Drosophila melanogaster: one gene and its partners. The protein of the gene in region 4 interacts with the protein of the main gene of each other region in a pairwise test. Each region holds a gene or a part of one and is shown on either strand. Other genes may lie near its edges.

Region 1 (5,013 bases), on a different chromosome or scaffold from region 4:
TTATTAAACGAAATGTAAATTTCACGCAACGCAGAAAAATGAAAAAACAAAAACTTTCATTTCTCGCTGCTTTCCAAATGAGGTAAGTGGCTGTTTAGCTGGTGGAGGTGGCTTTTTGGTTTTGGTTTGGTATTGGCGGCACCTGCTCAGCAAACCAAAACATGCCGCAAGCATTTAGCTTGCGTAATCCCAAGAATTTATGCTCGAGCATTTGAAAGCGAAAGTATTTCTCCCTCGACATTTTGGTATGCGGGGGCGCTGTGGTTGCGCAACTCGTAATAAAAGCCGGATAACCGGATACAAGCGAAATTAGTGCCTTAAATATCACTTATCACCTGGGACATCGCAAATCGAATTGCGCAAATGATGGGCCAAGCTAATTACAAAACTATTGCCACAGTCGTCGTCGCCACTGAGCCGCAGAAAAGTGTCCCAAAACAATGTGACAATTGCAACAGAGCAATACTTAAGGTAGCTGCTAGTAGCTACTCTATATATATGAAAAACCATAAAGCAAGCGCTGACAAAACAAAGCAGCCGCCAAATGGAGCAGCTGAAGAAAGCAAGAGTGGCTCGGCAAATGTATAGCCACAAGTACCCGTACTTGTTGGCCACGTCTCGAGTGTGGGCCTCATTCTGGCCCAGACCAAACCAGACTTGTGCAACTCGGCAACTTGGCGAGGGTATCCACATAAACCGCCTGCCGCAGATAGATATATATACATATATACAGATATATATGTGCCCAGATGAACATTAGCAATCAATCCACATCCGTGACCAAGACACGGAGTGTGAGAAAAAATTCAGTAGGCCAAGATACTTCAACTTGTCGGTCTAGAAGGAAAACACAGAGACAAAACGGAGCAAAAAGCCCCAAATGGTTGCCTTGCTCTACCAGCCGGGTGCTGACTAATCAACTGTGTGGGTATTCCAGGGGTGCCGAAGGAGGATCAGGGGGTCTTACGGAGGCCGTACATGCAACTGCAAATCACGATTTAGTTCCAGCGAACCAGCAATAAATGCCCGGCCTGGAAGCCATTTGAATTGATTTTTTAGTTTTTACCTCCGCTTAAATGCACTTTGAATCTGATATTGCTGAATGCATTGCAATTACTCACATTTAGAATTCAGTGCGTGTCACTAGTGCGAGATAATTATGGTTTTGAAAGACCGCTGGGCATATTCGATATTGATCTTTGAAATTGAAATTCTCTTTGGTATGGCTAAATCATCTGGGATAATTTAAGTTGTAATATAAACAAAGGTATGGTTGCATTGATTTCTCAATTCGTGAGTAATCAACACCAAAACTTGTGCGCATTAGGATCTGCAACGCATTCCATCGAACAAAGCCAACTAATGAAGCAAGTTTGTGTCTTAAGTCTTTTGTTTGGCCCGCTGAGAAAGTCGTAATCCGGGCTCAACGCTTGACAAATTGAACATTATGCGGTTGAGTAATTGAAAGCCGTGAAAGACGAAGACCACACGGGTAGGATCGCTGGGCACGTGCTAAGTGACGAGTGATGGAAGCTTCTGCAGCTACGCAAAGTCATTCGCACGTTTCACTTTCATCGGAGGAAGGTGAGGGAGGGGTAGGAATATGAATTGGCGGCGGAGGAGGCTAGTGGCAAATAAACACATCAGGCGCCACATTAAGACATGACAATAAAGAAAAAGTGAGTCTGAGCAGTATTATATTTTCTTGACACTTTCGCGAGTTTTGTTTCGCCACTTCCCCCCTCACCACTCCGCTGCCAACCCATCCCTCTTTTATATCGGCTGGCATTGGCCGATGCGGCGGCTACGTGATTTCAGCCCGTTGCCAAAGGCTACGATATGGACTTTGCTGGACGTGCGACAGGCAATTGGCCGGCCGGCGGCCATCGCCTGCGTTTATTGTAATTAGAAAGTATTTAATTTCGAAAACGCTGTCCGCTCGCACATAAAAAAAAAAACAAAGTTCGCATAAATATAAATAAAGAAATACATATATAAAACGAATAAGACGCTACGGCGTAATTTATGATTTCCCTCTTCTGTTTGCCCTCATGTTAAAATGACAAACAAACGAATAAGTGTACACATTAGTTCCGTTAAAGATCAGATGCCACATCGAAGATTAGGGAAGAGAAATGTCTGGCCCTCGGAAGTGGGGTCTGTATGCAAATTGGCCTGATAAACAAGATTTTTCTTGTACGAAACATAAAATTTCTCCAGGTGAAAATTGGGTTAATGAAGTGGCAATGGAGATAGACTTAGAGATGTAGATGAAAAACCCAAAACGAACCCACAGAATACTGATGGACCAGTTTCTTTTCTTTTGGTCAGGGGTCTGGCCACCTTATCTTTTAACGAGGAAGTCTGCCCATAAAGCTTGACTCAACTTGACTCTCTAGAGGATGGACGGTTGTTTTGGTTAGATGTATGGTCCATAAGTCTTTGGGCAAACAAATTGCATGCCAGTTAACGAGTGTCGGTGGGCAAAAACAAAATGAAATTTCCAAATAATTAGAGCATGAAAAAATAAACAGCAAAATTGCCAAGACAGTCGAATGCGTTGAGTGTGTGGTTAGTTGAATGGAGAGCTGAAATTTCTATTCGCCTTTTTTGGCAAAAAAAAAAAAAAAATAAAATAAATAAAAAATAAAAACCCCACTTACCACTCTCCTCTATTGCTTCTTCTTCTTCTTCCTGAACGGCAGCTGTTGTTTCTCTTTCACTTGGCTTAATTTAATTAAGATCCTAACTTGCCCAACTCGCCAAATTAGCAGCAATTCAAGCGTTTTACTTTTATTTTTGTATATTAATTATATTTTCGATTTCTTGAAATTCACTTTGACTTTATCCACTTGAGACGTCAGGAAGCTCACGCACTTTCGGCAAAAGATGCAAAATCAAATGTCGTTGGTACCACTGTGCGTATACTCGATGCGTATGAGTGTTACACTTACAAATCAAGTTATTACTATCTTGCGTTAACAGTTAGCCGGAGCTGGTTTTTAGACGCGTCTGCATCGTTGGCGTGCCGTTAACAGACTGAAGAAATGAAAAGCGTCGCGGGCCAAAGTAAGTAAGAGTGGTTCGCTCGTGGTTTTCATCCAACTGCCTCCGTCGAAGTCGACGCTGGCCGAGCAGTTAGCAGATCAGTAGGCAGCGCAGTCGCAGTCAGCGTTAACGGCGCAACTAAAGCGGCTTTAACAGCTTTTGGGCCAACAAAAGACTTGGTCAAACAGAGCGGTATAGCTCCTAGCTAAAAATGATCCTCCAATGATTTGTTGTGGTTAATTGAAATTAACAAAACGGGGATGGGGATAGAGTTTTGCCAAGGGGGAGTGTCCACAAGAATGCACTAAATGCAAATCAAGTCGGCCATAAATGCTAACTTGTTTTAGCGTTAGTTGCGGCGATGCTGTTCCAGTTTTGCAATCTTTGCTGGCGACAAGTTTTTACCACATTTGCTGGGAAAATCGATCCGACTGTGTGGGGGTCTTATGAATCGTGCTACACCCCTCGCTGATATATGTGATATATGTGTATATGTGCGGCTATATGGCCAGACATAACAACAATTCCATAATTCTGACTCAGTGCCATGTGGCATTCGAGCCGTGCATCTAGCTTTTAATTGGCTTTTTAGGCTTTGCTCTGCAGCCAAGGTCGTTTTCTTGCTACACAAATTCCATTATGAGTTTAATTGAATTGTTTGTTTTGGTTTTTTTTTCTTCTCTCGTACGCGTTTCCTCGTATTTTTGTTTGTTTTGTTAGGAAACCTATAAACCGATTGACATTTAGCAATTAAAACGCGTAGAAACCATTTTTTCTTCGCTGGCCTTTGCCGCATTTCTTTTGTTACAAATTGGTTACAAACTTTATAAAACCTATAATAACAAAAAGTGCGAAATTGGGATTAAATATGTGGTTGAAATGTTTGCAATCAAGTAGCGCAGGTAGAAATAAATATTTAAATCTTTTTATAATATTTTCCAGATAATATTTTGGTGTTTAAAATACATTTTTGTGCTCAGCTTGTTGCCAAATATTTCTTTGGTCTGCTAGAATTGGCCTTAAAAAGAGGTCTTTTTCAACTTCTTTTGGGGCAATTAAAATATTCTCATGCCGGCAGCCGCACAATTTCCGTTAAGCAAACAATTGTCTAAGTGAGACGTTTATGGATCGTGGAAATCAAGTTAATTAGCATATCGTTCAGCGTCCGCCATTATCCATTATGCATTGGGTAACCCAAACGAGATGCTCGGACGCTTTTCAATCGCATTTTTTTTTCAATTTCAATTTTCCAGCGGCAATTGCGACGGGCGATGAGTGCATTGACAGGAGCAGCAACATCGTCGCCGCAAATCCAATCAGTCAACTTGTCATAACGCCTGCCCACCTGTCTGTCCGTGTGCCTCACCTGCCGCCTCAGGTGGGCGTGAGTTATGTGCGGACTGATGACGTACGAGGAAGGTTTCCACCTCATGGCCTAAGTTATGTGACGGGATCTCTTGGCGTTCGGAGATCATTCAACCGCGACTCGCGTCTTGAACTTCCGCTGAATGTTATTTAGTTGGCTTGCAACTCTGTTTCTAGAACAAAGCACTTTCACCTGCCTCGCAGATAGAGAATCAAATTCAATCGAATTCAATTGGCAGCCAATGGTTGGGGGACGGCAATTAGCGTTGACCTTTTCACAGGTGTCTCACTGAAATGGCTCACACGCCCAAGGTGGCGCTGCCAAATGGCAAAGGTAACAGATCGCGACCTTCAGGCCCCTGTTTATGAATGGCTTTTCCCAAGCTCTTTGCGCATTTTCCGCGACGTATGCGGAAAAGAGTAACGAGATTTGCATAAAATTCGACACGAATATTTCCCACACTCCGACATAAAATAGATCAACTTAATTGGACATGTTTTTATGGCATAATTCAGACCAATTAGACGTAGAATCTTTTGGGCCAGGTGCAGATAAACCGTCGCTTGTGATTCGCAACTGATGCTGATGCAACGCTGACA
Region 2 (4,695 bases), on a different chromosome or scaffold from region 4:
TACAGCTCATCCTTTTTAGGCCCTATGTAAATAAGTTGATCCTCCGGCTTAACCTCGTATTGCAGCAGCTTCACATATCGCTTGAGCAGCTTGCGCCAATAGCACTTGATGTCCTTCATGCGCAAATGCTCCCAGATGAAGTCGTATCCACGCTGAGCGATCTCCTGGGCCAGCGCATCGTTTTTCTTGAAAAAGGACAAGATGTGCTCGTACTCCTGCTGACTGGGGTAGCTCTTGAGCGGCACATAGTGCACCCAGGGCTTTAGTTGGTCGTAGAAGAACTCCTGCCACTCGTCGCCCACATGGAAGACCAGCGACTTGCAGAGGAACAAGTGCTTCAGACGAAAACTGGCGGCCACACCGCGGAAATTGAACAAGTACTTGTACTTGCAGTGGTCCTCGAAGGACACCTCATCAGCAGCCGGTGCGTCCAGTGTATCCTTAGGCGACTTCCAGCCCTGATTTTTGGTGTATTGAGCCTCGACTAGCTCCGGATTGCGGCGCGAGAGCAGAATAAGAGAATCACGTTCGTCCGAGGTGCGTGAACCGCGAAAGAAGCCCAGACTGCGTTTCTGTGACCAGGGTATAGCTGCCGCTCGCTTCTCCAGCTTCTCGCGCATCTGATCCCAGCGTCCAATGCCACGAGGATGGAGCTTGGTGGCCGGTCCTCCGGCCCAGAATGTCCACGCTGGATACATGATGTCGCGGTACTCCTTTGTCTTGGAGAAGGAGAAGACGGGACCACCAGCCGCGTTACCCCACGCCGCATTCAGCTGCGGATAGTCCCTGGTATTGATGATCAAGTCCATGTCGGGCAGCGTAGCCACCAGCGGCAGCAGGAAGTGTTCAATGCCCTCACAGCGGGCTGGGAACATGCAGTTGGCATCCCGGTACAGGCGATGTCCGTAGATCTTGTATTTGGTGCCGTAACGCGCTGAACTCTCGATCATCTGCCGGGTGACACCTGTTGACTTGTAGGGCGCGAGATCCCGTTTCAGAACATTTGCGTGGCAGGAGCAGTCGCTGTCCTGGGGATCACTGCTGCACGGCTTGTAGTCGGCATTGGCTTTTTCGATCTGGCGACGTATCTTGAAGCTAACTAAATTAATTGATTAATTAATTAATCGAAGCCGGCAACAAGTTGCTTACATTCATCCTCGTTTATTTGGTCGGGTTCACTTTGTGCACAGGATTTTTGATCGGCACTGCAAAGTCCGTCATCTTCTGCACCTCCTGTTCCTACCAAACTAATTAATAATACGACTATTAAATGATTTATTAGCATTTCTTTGGATGTAAACAAATTTGTTGGCCTTTGATTGCGGCGTCAGCAATAGGGTTGCCAAGTCAACTGAAACTATCGATATTCCAGAAATGTTTTTAAGGACATAGTTTTTAAAGTAAAATGAATGTCTACAATTGATGTAGAAAATAAAAGACTTTCTGCCATTTAGCTGCAAATAACTTAAGAGGAGAAGTAGTTGTGTTTTTAATAACTTTTTGTTACCTGGCAGCCCAGGCAGCAAAGCAGTGATTGAACTGTTACTTTCTTAGGCAGACCATGTCACTGCATTTGCAGGCAAAGCCCTGCAGTAGTAACCATTATTTTGTATGACCATCCATGTGATGGTCACCCTATGCGAGTAACTGTTCGCCGAGTTTTACTTTTGACGCGGTGTGCACACACTGGCCGATCCAACCATTATAAGAAAACCAACAAGAAACGTCGAAAGTTTTCTCCGTGTTAAAGCCAGCCAATAGCCAAATTACAAACGAAAACGACGATTTGCAATTTGCAAATTATGCGTGCGGCACCTAGTGCAATCGAAACCACGTAAACCCAACGAACGCGAGTGTTTTAGACCACCTGCAACCTGAAACAACCACCATTGTACATAATTTACACGAACAATTTTGCAACGACAACAACAAAGGACGCCGCGCTGAAAGAGAGAAGTTGACATAACTGCAAAAAGTAAATTGTATTTAACAGTGGTGGGCAACTAAATAAAGCCCGGATTGTAATATTGGCAACGAAAAATCGTAGTGGGAGTGGCCCAATTGCGAAAACGATGTTGTTTTGTTGAGACAATTGCCAAAAAGCCACCAAAAGTTCAACTAAAAAAGGTAATACATATGTATTTTTATTTATTTGCAAGTGTATCTGCATCTGTATGTGTGCGCGCGCGTGAGTGTGTGTGTGGGCGTACTACGAATAACAGTTAATTGAGCACTCATCGATTTTTTAGCCCCTTTATTGTGGCTCCTAAAAAAGGCAACTTAAATTCATTTCACCTCACGATCCGATCGCCAGATAAAATACAAAAAATAGAAAAAAAATGGAAGAAAAAACTGTTGGAAAAGTTGCCAGCCATCGTCATTAAGTTGATTTGCTACCGCCGCCGATGCTGCGATTTAATTTACCTGGCATTTGGTTTGCTTTCGAGAGCTCCAGTTTCCCATTCCGCCGCATTCCACCTGGGCTTTTCGTTTCTCGACTTTGATTTTCGTTTCCCATCCAGCGGCCGATTTTCCTGCTCGCCGACAAAAAAAAATCGTATCGCTTTCGTTTTCACATTGGACGGCGCGATATACTGGCTTTTTGTTTTTGGTCCGCGACCTAGGGTCGCATTGCCCCGCCCCTCCCGCACCAGCCCGACCGTCCATCAAAGCACCTGACTAATTAGTGTTGAGTTATTAACTTGATAATTATCGCTAGCCACGAGCGAGGTGCACTACTGGAGTTCTGCAGTGCAGGCCTACTTCCGTAACTCTAAACATCTCTTTCATTTTCCTAAGATATATGTATGTATAAACCATTTTAATGGCTTACTTTAAATCTTATTGTACAACATGGATTAGAGTATGTTAGGAGTAATCTCCAACTTATTTAATGTACTCATTTCGTTGTAATAATGTAGTATGATATCTTAATCAGATTCAACATTGTTGTTGATGAAAGTTAGCGGAAGTTGAATTGTATCTGTGCCTTGCAGTGACTAAGAACTAACTTGGCTATCTTTGAGGTCTTTTCGTTAAACTCGTTTGGAACACCATATCGAAATACTGAAAACGTTAAATACAAAAAAAAAAAAAAAAGAAACAAACACAGTAATTCGAGCTTGGCGCTGACTAAAGCTTCGCTTTGTTTATGGAAATATATGTGGTCATAATCAAGCTTTTGGAACCGAAGTCACACGTAAATCTTTTCTGCGCATTCAGACGTATCGATGCGATTGGGAGCCCCTCGACTAGCGTTTCCAATCAATGGTTCTTGGGAGAAAAACTTCGAATCATTTGCATTTTCAGTGGCGTGGCGACCCTCGCCTTCTAATGACTCGATTGATTTCCATTTTGGGCAACCTTTCTCGTTTGTGTAATGCCGGAAGTCGTTTGTCGTAACTTCTTGTATTGATTATAGATAATAATCGAAGAATGCTTTCCGTAGAACGTCTGCCAAATGGTCGTTGGCCAGCTAAAACAGCTGCCATTAGCCGCAGTCACGCTGTCTGGCTTGGGTCATACATCATTTATGTACTCCACTCCTTTGGGCAGGCAAATGACTGAACCCCCGCCCACCACCGATAACCACCCATTTCCACCAACTCCCACTCCGAAGTTCACGTGAAATGTGGCATGCCTAACCCAACCAGATGATTCATCATAACGTGGCATAGGCAGTTTATGCAGATTCCCTACCTTCCTTCCCTGCCAGCCAAGTGGCTGTAACACATTTTCATTTATGCTCCGCTCTCGCACACAATTTCTCCACCCTCTCGCATTTTTCCGTAATTTCCTGACTGATGAGTGAGCCTGCGCATTGGAAAATCGCTTTTCCAGAGCGGTAACTCGCCTGCCGAGTGGTGTGTTGAATTTCTGTTAGCTTCAGGGCTGGGTTGCTATTTTGACATGCTCTTCGGAACTTCTGGATTCATTATTATAGTTTTATTTTTAATGAGATTTTAAGAGCTTATCAATTTTACTACAATTTCCACATATATTGCCCTCTAAGACACGCTTTTGTTTAGAAATTGTTGCCGTCTTGTTAATTCAATTCCACACACTTTCTTCTGCCGCAGACTGAGACTGAAAATATATCCATTTCGCTGCGCATCGCATGTCCAGCTGTGTCAGCTTCTTTCGAATTCTTTGATGTTTCGAAATTGCCTGTCCGTAGATAATTCAGTGCGATTATATTGCGTGCCTGCTGACTGACCGCTCGTACATCATTAGCTCATCGGTGGGGTTTTGTTAGCTAATGGCCATATACTGCAACTGCATTAATAACATAATGTTTGTGTCATTAACCTGCGAACGGAACGAGTTTCCTGCTCGCGCAGCTGGAAAATCGCTTGCCTTTCGGCGGTGGCGGCTCTAATCTGCATAGAATGCGGATCGTCTTGGAAATGTCAGCTTCTCCCCCTCGCAAGAAAACCAGTTAACCAACTAATAGTGGGCCAAATTGCGATTGGTAGTATTTCAGTAGGCTATTCGAACGCATGCGTGACCGCGTTCGACAGTTGGTTTTGTTTACATTTTGGGTTATTGATCGGCTGGCGCACGATTTGATTCTCCGTGCGCTTATCATCAGCACGCACACCATGGTGATACTACACATATATGTAGCTAATGCGGCGGATCTGGTCATGGGCTCTGTGTCATGGAGAAGCATTCGGCTGGCTATCAGCACGAGCA
Region 3 (4,992 bases), 5.1 Mb from region 4:
ATAAATAAATTCGATCACATTAAGTATATCAATCAATCGTAAGTTTCTTCAATTGCTTTTTCGCAGGTGTTATCAATATCTTTGATTAGATAATGAGCTTAAGCCCAAATTCTAATCATAATGGCAGGAAAATTTCACATTTTATAAGGCAAGATTCATCTTATTTGATTTCTTATTTTACTTGGCCAAAAAAGAAAAAAGAAAAAAATTTCTTTTGTTGGCATTGGTTTGGTAATAGTAGAAAACCAAACAACTGACCACCAAACAATCGACGCTGACTAGTTGATTTTTTCCTTTATTTCAATTGTTGGTAAGCTGCTCGATTTTTTCATTAATTTCTTTTTTCGCATGTTTTTCACTTTCTTCCGCCGAGTTGAAAGTGAAATTTGATGGCATTTCTTTATACATCATCATCATTACACATTTTACTTAAATTCTAATTGAGGTAGTTGAGATGCATACATTTTTTGTTTATCTTCGGATTGCATCATTACAAAAGATGGTTAAGTGTAATTGGCTTACAAATATATGGAAAATATTTGTAACATTACAAATGTTTATTAATACATAGATGCAAAATAAATGATTAGGATTACGGAATTGGTCTGTGTATTACATTAGCAATTTTTTTCGAATGGTGTTGAATGATGAATAGATTTTTAAATGCTACACTATTCCGATTTCCCTCCGGATTCTATTTTACATCTTGTTGCCGTGGTTTGAATTACGAGAGCAGCTGGCATTGGCGTCCTGTGGCTCACCGAACATAAAATGCGAAACATATTCCGGAATATATACCGGCCAGCAAGGATGCTGCTGCGCTTCGGCCTGATAAGTTTCGCTAATCAATGGCGGTTGATTTAAATTTGAACCATTAGCCGTCGGCATTTGGTTATACTTTGGCATGAAGCCTGACTGCTGGGACATCGGAAAACCAGTCGGAGGATAGCCGTAAGCGGATGTCGATTGAGCGTTGTAATAGGAATTGGAACCATAGCCGAAACCTTGCGCCGATTGGTAGTTATCAAATTGGATATTCGGGCGATTTGAAGATGAAATCGAATCATTGCCCGGATAATTTTCGCGCAGATTGCGGATTACGGTCATGAAGGCCTCCTCCAATGGATAATCCTTCCGGCGAGAATTCGTTCCACCCGCAATCGATTGAGGATGGCCCGACCTATCGGCACCCAAGGCAGAGCCTCTCGGCGAAGAGTTGAGACCCGGCTGGGATTTCGTCCTCGAGGGCTCAGCTTTCTTGGAGCCATTGGCAGCGGCAATGTTTTCGCTGGCCTCCGGTGGATGAAACTCCGGATATGAGAAGAAATCCCGGGCAATCTTCTTCAGATTCTGCATGCTGAATGGGTCAGCTGAAGAATCGCTAGTTCCGAAAAACCCCTGGCTTTTAACCGATTGACTGGGCCAAGTGAACGTGGCGGATGATGAGCTGGTATCCGGACATTTCTGCTTTTCGCCCGAAACATTGCCATGATGACAACACGATCCAATTTGATTGACAGATGAGCCCTCCTTGGGTGGAGGAGCATTCACTGCGGTGGGCCCGTCTTGCTTATTGGCCACAACGCTTGAATACAACTGCTTGGGACGGCTCTTGTCCTCGTGCTGATTGGGCTTCTCCTGCTTGGATGCTTCATTGCCATTTTGTTGCATCTTCGACGATGGATTCCTTCGATTGCGTTGCATCTGCTTAGATTGATTATGCTGAAAGTACTATTTTATGCGATAAGCCCGCTTTTTGCACTATACTTATTGCTTCACCTGTTTCACAGTGTCCTCCGGCACCACGTGGTTCAGCCCCTGCATTGGCACCTTTCCAGCTCGCTCGGAATTTGGGCGAGCCGCATTTTTGCCCTGTTTCTTGCTATAAGCAGGATTCGGTGGAATGATGGACTGCCTCATCGACGGCTGCTGTATAATTTTTGGGGGTTCCAAAATACACGCGGCCTTTGCTATGTTCTGATTTTGTGATTTGATCAAACGTTTGAGTTGCGCCTGTGACATTCTGGGAAATTTTTTGTGTGGCATTTTGATTGGAATTTTAGTTTTTTTTTTTTCAAACGTTAGTACGTGTAATCCGGAGGTATACGAAACTGAATAGAGCTCAGGCAATTCCAAATGACATTCGAGTTGACAGAAGGCACTGCTTACTTGAAATTTGTTGGCGATTCTTTTTCTAGAACATGAGGTTAGGTTTCCCACTTTCGGCCAATCACTGCTAAGTTCATCAGCAAATTAAACAATACTGGATTTATCTAAACTTATTTAAACACTAAAATGAATTATGCAATACTAGATAAATATGTAGTTATTGGAACATTATACAGCACTGGATGTATCTAAACTTATTCTAACAAAATCTAAACCTAATTATACAATGCTAGATAAACAAGATAAGATGAACATAAACATATGCACACACACACACACACACACAGTACATGAAAAGCTTATTCAACACTGGATATAAATCAAAACAAAAACAAACTTAACTTAATTTGGATTCAAAACACTGAATCAAATGGTGGATTATTTTAGACCAAACCATTGTTGAGTCTTAATAATATTATTAATTTATGATACAAGTTATGTACTCTTACAAATACATTTCTCTTATTTAAAACATCATTTGCTAGACTAGAAAACAACCTTTGTATGTATGTAAGAGTATGTATTTATCTATTTATTTATGTATGTAACCTTATAGGCACATCATTTGAACCTTCTGATTTCCACATCATCTTTAGTTATTGATGTTATCGCCCGATCTATGTGTGAATATCATATCATCGTTTTACGCAACTTCCACCCTATATTTATTGTACACCCCCCGCCAAAAAAGAAAAAAATCCCCATAGCAACAATGGCGAATGCCAAGATGCGATTTCCCTGGGCCCCAAAAGACCCAAGTTGCGTTTTCAGTTCGCTCCGCATTTCGTCTTTTGGTTTTTGCTATTGTTTTGATGGAAGCTGCAATTGCAGTTGCAACTGCTGACTGGCAACCGGATATGGTCACGAAAATCTGAAATCTCATATCCATATGCGAGTGACGCTCTGCATATGATTTGCAGATGTTGATGTTGCTTGTTTTCCCTTTTCCCAATTTCCCTTATTTTCCTTGCGTTACTACTTACAGTTTTAGTTGTTCCTACTTTGATTTCCTCAGTGTGTGGCTTGAGTTTTCCTTAGTATTCCGCCCTAGTGAATATTTAATTTGTTTCCTTCTTGCACTTCAGATGCAACTGCAAGTAAATCAAGTAATAAAATTAAACATTTTATAAGAAAGAAATGTATATTACTTTAAGGCCCGTGCCAAGGAATATGTATATACTACTTTTCTAACAACTTGTCATAATTTGATGTAAATTTCCAAGCTACTTAAGTTGATCAGTTGAGTGGCACAATACTGACTTGAAGGACAATATCTAGATTACTCGGATCTCAAGATTTCTGCTCTGTTTTGGATGCCCGCTGACGTGGACACACTCAGATGCGCTCCAGTGCCGATCCGGCTGGGTAAGCTCACCGATCTTAGCCAGATATCGACCCCCAGCCCACTCCCTTTTGTATCCCTTGAACTGTGGTGTAATTCGACTCAGTTTTTGTTTTCCGCTTCTGGCTGCGTTTTTGGCCAATCAAAGCAAGACTTGCCTTGGCTTTTGGCTTATTAATTATAATTAATAATTGCTACCCACTGGGCTGAGTCAGAGATTATGTTTACGTTTTGGTATCACCCTATAAGTTTGCGATGCTTATGCAATGCGCTGCAATTAATTGCGATAAGAACGTGCTCGAGTGTAACGTGAACCACTGCTATGGGTTGGGTTCAGAACCCCTGCAAATGACGTACATAGTTACTACAGCAGGGGGCAAATTACTAGCAGACATATTACCTTATTTGACTAAATAACACTTTGAACTTTGAATATCATAAGCGCGTTCACATTAGAGGTTTAATATAATGCAAATGCTGAGTTGTCCATTGAATTGATTAGTTGTTATTAAATCCGATTTATAGTCACAGTATTTGTAAGAATAATACTTTATAAGCCATGTACACTTTTGCCCATTATTGTGCACATTTTTCTGAAGGGCGCACCCATATGACGCGTTTGTGTTTCTTTGGTTCTGGGCTGAGAAAGTGACAAAACACAAAACAAATTTCGTTGACCATGTTTGGAGTGGCGCTGCTTCTTATTCTGTTTTGGTTTCGGCTTCTAGGTTTGTTTTCCGTTTCCATTTCTGTTTTCGTCTCGTTTTCCATTTCCATGCGACGTGGTCGGAATGACCAAGTGGTGCTCCACTATTGGGGACAGCGGTTTGTTGTTGTAGTTGTGGGTGCTCGATTAGCTGACACCGATTCTCGATGGTTGATAAGGCTAGTTCAGTTGGCCGTCCGCAAGACTGGGCCAAGTCGATTTTAATCGCATTGATTTCGTTTAAGTGCAAGCAAAACTATTTACCCCAACTCCCTCAAGGGGGTTTGGTTTGACCTCAAAACGGGCGGTTTGACCAGCAAATACTAACCTCTTTCCTTTGCTATCTTGCCTTTATTAATTCATTTTGGGTACTAGTTTGATCGCTTACTAAAACCCCTACTGAATAAACTATAACTGACCTTATTCACTGTCCGATATGATACCACCATCTATTATTTACCATTTGTTGGCTTTTATTACTTACTGGCCAAGCCAAAGCCAAGTTATTCTGGTTACTAGCCAATAAGCATTAAAATACAGCGTTTTGTTTGGCGAAATCAATTAGTAAATTAAACAAATGAAGACATTAATGCTATTAAAGAGTGTTAATCATTCAATGTGGTTCATATGGCTGCCTTTCTCTTCACTTCTTTTATTTTTTCCACGTTTTTGCTTCAATATTTAGCAGTTTGTCATCTCTTGAATGATGATGATGGTCAAAATATTGCTACCATCGTTCGTTCAACTCGTTGCCGATTTGCAAATCTGGCTAAGA
Region 4 (4,997 bases):
GATATTACCAATCATATACATATTACGAACTAAAGTTAAGCATTGGCAGGCATTATTTTGAGAAAAGTGTGTACAACGTGGCGTATGAGCAATGTCATAACTTTGACCATTTGGCTACCACTCTATTCCGTTTTTAAAAAAGTTTTAAATTCCATATACATAACGAATTTATCAAGCAAACTTGTCTGCTGCTAAGAGCCTTAACTAGAAGTCATTAAATATCGCTTTAATTTATATATTTATATGTAGATGCAGATGAATTTCATACGTTTGTTGCATGCTTTTAGGCATTCGAACAAAATCATAATCTGTAATAATAGATTCTGTATCTAAGTTGGAAAATTGTATATGCCATGCTTATAAAACAGTAAACAAACTATTCATTTTCAGTTAATAAAACTTAACTTTATTCTGAAACAACGAATTTTTTTTTGTAACGATGCTGAATAAAATTTCAACAATTGCTTGCAATAACATTTTATTACAAAGCCAAAATATATATATAAATATCCCCATCCATATTATTCCTCAATTAAAACACATTAAAACTTTGATCGTTAGTTTAGCCATTTTATTTACTACTAATATCACTCAGTGTATATACATAGATTCGTTTGTGTCTTTGCTCGGGATTTGTGTGTGTGTTTGTTTTTTTTGTGTGTGTGTGTGCGTGTTTTTGTGTAGGCTAGATATATAACATATATCAGTGTATAATATCATATAAAATTGTGCTCCGTGTATAACACTAAAAAATGATAAAAAAAAATTTCGCTAGCTCTGTTTTACTCTTCATTTGCCTGTTGGAGTTGCACTTAAAAACTAAATACTTGCAGCTGGGGGGAAAATCGAGGATCGGGAATCGGGAATCGGGAATCAGGAATCGGGAATCGGGTGGGGCATAAATCTTGCGGGAGAAGGGTGTTGGATAAGGGTATATCTAAATAATAATCGCCTTATGCGGTGGGCAGATACAGACGAGATGGCGTCGCCAGGGGCACCTGAGGTGGCTGATAATCGTAGCCATTGCCGTTGCCATTTCCGTATCCGTTTCCAACTCCATTTCCATTTCCGTATGCGTTTCCAGCTCCATTTCCTTGTCCGTTTCCAACTCCATTTCCGTATCCGTTGCCAACTCCATTTCCGTATCCGTTTCCAACTCCATTACCGTAAGCATTGCCATTTCCATAGGGAGACGTGTAGCTATAGTCATCGCCACTCTGTCCACTGCCCCTCAGAGGACCTTGCGATCCTTGATCGGAGTCCAGGGTCTGCTGCAGGAACTGGAAACGGTTCTTGTTGCCCAACAGGCTGCTGGGATCCACGGTCTGGCGCTGTCCGGCAGAAGCCAAAGGCTGGGGTCTAAAATATATAAATATAAAATAAGTTTTTTATATTCATTATATCATTTGCAATAATAGTGTATGAAACTTCTGATTTGTACGCAAATGTGCTAGTTTGAAGAAGTTCTTAAACGTTTTTTTTGTAAAGTGTATTGGTTACTCACTCGGGAATGTCCAGATCCAGCTCGGTGATGGGATGATAGCCGAACTCATCGGCGGTGTAACGGGTCTTGTACCGCTTGCCATCGGCGCCGGTGAACGAGTAGGAGCCGCTGACCACGAAGGTCTTGTCGTCCTTCAGTTTGCCCACGCTGCTCACTTCGATGCCGTTCTGGGTCTTCAGTCTGAAAAAAAAGTTCATTTTAACTTTAGTAATGCTTCGTAAATTATTTAAAAAAATATATCAAATTACTTGATGCTTTGTAAATTATTTAAAAAAATATATCAAATTACTTGAATTTATTTGCTATGCATCAAAAGTTATTACAGATCTATAAACCTATGTTAAAGTAGTTTTCTTTTAGACTGCGATTCAACTTCATATATAAATATATAATTATGTTTTAATTTAGCCAAACACTATCACTTTATGAACTATATAGGTACCATAGATACTCACTCCAGCTTGAATTTCTTGCCCGAGTTGTAGTTCTGGAGGGTTTCGGTCTTGGCCTTCATGACATCGCCGCTAAAGTGCACCGCCGGCTTGTCGTCATCGATGTCCTCGGGCAGGGTGTAGATATCGCTGGGATTGTACTTGAAGAGGTCCAGATTGCGATCTGTCAGATGCTTGACATCGGCAGCGGCCAGAGCAGCGAAACCCAGAAGGATCAGCTAAAAGATAGAATGCCTGGTTAGTGCCACTTGTCACACGATGCATTAGTCATATCTGTGGATCACAGTCGTTACGATTTATTTTTTTCGCATTCGGATTTGGATACGGATTTTGATTTGGATTTGAATTGGGATTCGTATTTTGCATTTCGCATTAACGGGCAATTAATCAAAGTCGCGCGCGAATCGCTGGCGTTTCTGACCGCACAGCGTCGCTTTGTCTCGCAATTCTCTCGTTTATTTATTTTTTTTTTCGTTTTTTTTTTAGTCTTTTTAATTTTTTTTATCTATATTTGCTGTGATTTATTTGATTTGGTTTCGGGCCGAGGCACTAATCATAATGGGTTCCAACCGTTTCGATATTTGTCATTCGTCTGTTTTGACGTCGATGAGCTATGCGGCTGCTCAAGGTGATATTCAAACACTTTAGGTTTCGGACTTTCCTTAAAGTGTGGGTCATTAGTTCTTTAATTTGGCATACTAATTCTTAGGTAAAGCTTAAAAAAAACTAAAAAGCAGCCTCGCAGGAACTTCGGTTAAATTGATTTTAATGTGTATCTTTTGTTTGAGATTCAAAATAAGCTTTAAAGTCATTTCTGTGGCTTAAAAGTATTCACACTTTTGAAGGACATTTTTTGCGCGCACTTTCACTTGATCCTTTTTTTTATTGAGACACCACAAAAAAAAAAATAACTCATTAAATATATACTTTTCAGTACTTTCGGGCACTTACAAAACTCTTCATTTTTATGTGTGTTTTTTTTTTCGTAACGAGGACTAATTTATGTTTTTTTTTTTTTATTGTAGCGGCTCGGTTAGTTCCGATGCTCACAGATTCTAGCAAATAAATACAAACGATGCGACTTCTTGTTTCCTTATATATGGTATTATCAGCGACGCCGGCAGCGAAGTCGACAGAAATAGGAACCGGACAACGAACTGAGCCTCTGTCGGCGTCGCAGCCGCTTAGAATCAAAAAAAGCCAAAGTTTGTCAACGCTGAAATCGGTATGGTATATATGCATATATATATATATATATATATGTGTGTGTATGTGTGTGAGGAAGGGGATTAGCCCAGATGAGGGGCATCATCCATCGGTGAATCTTCAGCATCCAGAAGATGTAACATTTTACGGGTCTTCTGGACAATTCTCCCTTCTCGGTATCTCCGTTGCTGACGGAGACTGATCGCAGATCGAAAAGCATAGAAATCTGGTTTTCGTGGCAACAAAATTAGAAAACCGCCATCATCAAATTAGCATACACGTTTAATGATGATTCTCTTCCCTGAGTGTGTGTGTGTGTGTGTGGTGTGTGTGTCTGTGTGAGTGTGTGCATGTGCGTAAATTTAAATCTGCGTTAATTTTTTATAAAGCATGGAATATATATATATATATATATATACTAACTATATATATACTATACTAACTTGGGCGACCAGTTTATTTTAGCGGACACCCAAGTTCCAAGTTCCGAAAGTGCCGCTGAATGGAACCCGCAAATCTTTCATCCGTTTCTTCAGCGGAAAGAGGCGATGATGATTCTTCACCACTGATAAGATGCCCCATTCTCATTCTTCGGTTTCATATGCTAATATGCATATCAGTCAGCCTTCGCTTAATTAGCCGTTTCGTTTTCGGTCTTATCAAAATTTATCAAATGCGATTCTTCTGGCGGATCAGTGTCTGTCTTGGTGTCTTCGGTGCTTGGTGTCTTGGGATCTTCTTAAGAGATCGTGAGATCTTGGGCTCAAAAATGCCATTTAACCATTTCGGACCGCACAGGGTCATCGGATTTTCGCTTTCGGTAGCTTTTCAGCGTTTTGTATTTCCATCATTTGCATAGTTATTGGTTACACTAATGGCTCCATTTATGAAACTCTTTGTTTGGTCTTCTAAATCTTCCGAATTTACTTGTAAATTGCATTATTGTTATTTGATTGATGGTTCATGTTTGTATTGGGTTCTCAGAGCGCTTGCCTTGAATTCTAGTTATCTTAAGATAGTTATTCATATTCCATTTTTAAGGCCCCATAAAAATGTAATGTTCAAAATTTACCTTTTTTTAAACTAGTTCTCGATTAATTAATATTTATTTCCTTTTTGCCAATTTTAGAGCTCTAAAAGTAAACAGTTTATACAAATCCTGATATATGACAATATGGCTTATCAAACTGTTTTGAAAAATACAATGACACACATATACACCCAAAATTCAAGGTATAACGAAAATATTGTATATTTTAAAATGTTAATATTATAGACATATTCTTTCGATTTTCTGTTTGCTAAACCTGGCTTGCATTTGAACATATATATATCTATTATTTTTGAACTATTTTTTGGCCAACTTATAGATATTATACATTTATTCCTGGATTGGCGGGTTTTGCAAACATATTTTGATTGAACACTGCATTTATGGCTGTCAGCAATCAAGTCTATCACATTTTGTCTACCCAACGCGTGGATGAGATTGAAATCAAACCGGACCGGACACGCAGCTCTAATGATAATCGCTAATGGTGCTTCTAATTTAAGTTTTATGCTTAATAACTTAAACGAATGCCGCACGGCATTCATTTTTCATTCGAAAAGAAGTATCTCTTTTTTTTTTGGCCATTTAATTCTTCTTCTGGTTGGTTGTTTGATCTTCTTGGCCTAATGAAAACGTTTTGGCCATTTCAGCGACTTGTCAAATGTGTGATGGCTGTTAGTTAGTTAGTTCGTCTGGCTCAACCAACTGAGTTCGCCTTGGAAATTAACCTGGTGTTTCTGATGTTTGATGTCTGCTATTTCGTCCGTGTCTTTGATATCAAATC

What was found.
Region 1: the proteins of Cpr11A (region 4) and CG15080 interact in a two-hybrid assay, tested with the Drosophila melanogaster proteins (one large-scale study listed by BioGRID).
Region 2: the proteins of Cpr11A (region 4) and Usp12-46 interact in a two-hybrid assay, tested with the Drosophila melanogaster proteins (one large-scale study listed by BioGRID).
Region 3: the proteins of Cpr11A (region 4) and CG12992 interact in a two-hybrid assay, tested with the Drosophila melanogaster proteins (one large-scale study listed by BioGRID).

What each region holds. Positions count from the first base shown.
Region 1 is NT_033778.4:18,781,329-18,786,341, reverse strand, and holds the start of CG15080 (uncharacterized protein), read right to left. Parts: upstream 3,044-5,013; 5' UTR 2,664-3,043; intron 1-2,663.
Region 2 is NT_033777.3:22,749,240-22,753,934, forward strand, and holds the start of Usp12-46 (Ubiquitin-specific protease 12/46), read left to right. Parts: upstream 1-1,661; 5' UTR 1,662-2,127; intron 2,128-4,695. Other genes in the region: rumi, read right to left, coding at 1-1,099, 1,150-1,285. UniProt on the Drosophila melanogaster protein: Catalytic component of the Usp12-46 deubiquitylase complex.
Region 3 is NC_004354.4:17,587,256-17,592,247, reverse strand, and holds CG12992 (uncharacterized protein), read right to left. Parts: upstream 3,384-4,992; 5' UTR 3,318-3,383; intron 3,261-3,317; 5' UTR 3,153-3,260; intron 2,291-3,152; exon of another isoform or gene 2,234-2,290; 5' UTR 2,047-2,233; coding exon 1,780-2,046; intron 1,732-1,779; coding exon 700-1,731; 3' UTR 542-699; downstream 1-541.
Region 4 is NC_004354.4:12,485,004-12,490,000, reverse strand, and holds Cpr11A (cuticular protein 11A), read right to left. Parts: upstream 3,032-4,997; 5' UTR 2,920-3,031; coding exon 2,908-2,919; intron 2,175-2,907; coding exon 1,960-2,174; intron 1,685-1,959; coding exon 1,505-1,684; intron 1,360-1,504; coding exon 954-1,359; 3' UTR 553-953; downstream 1-552.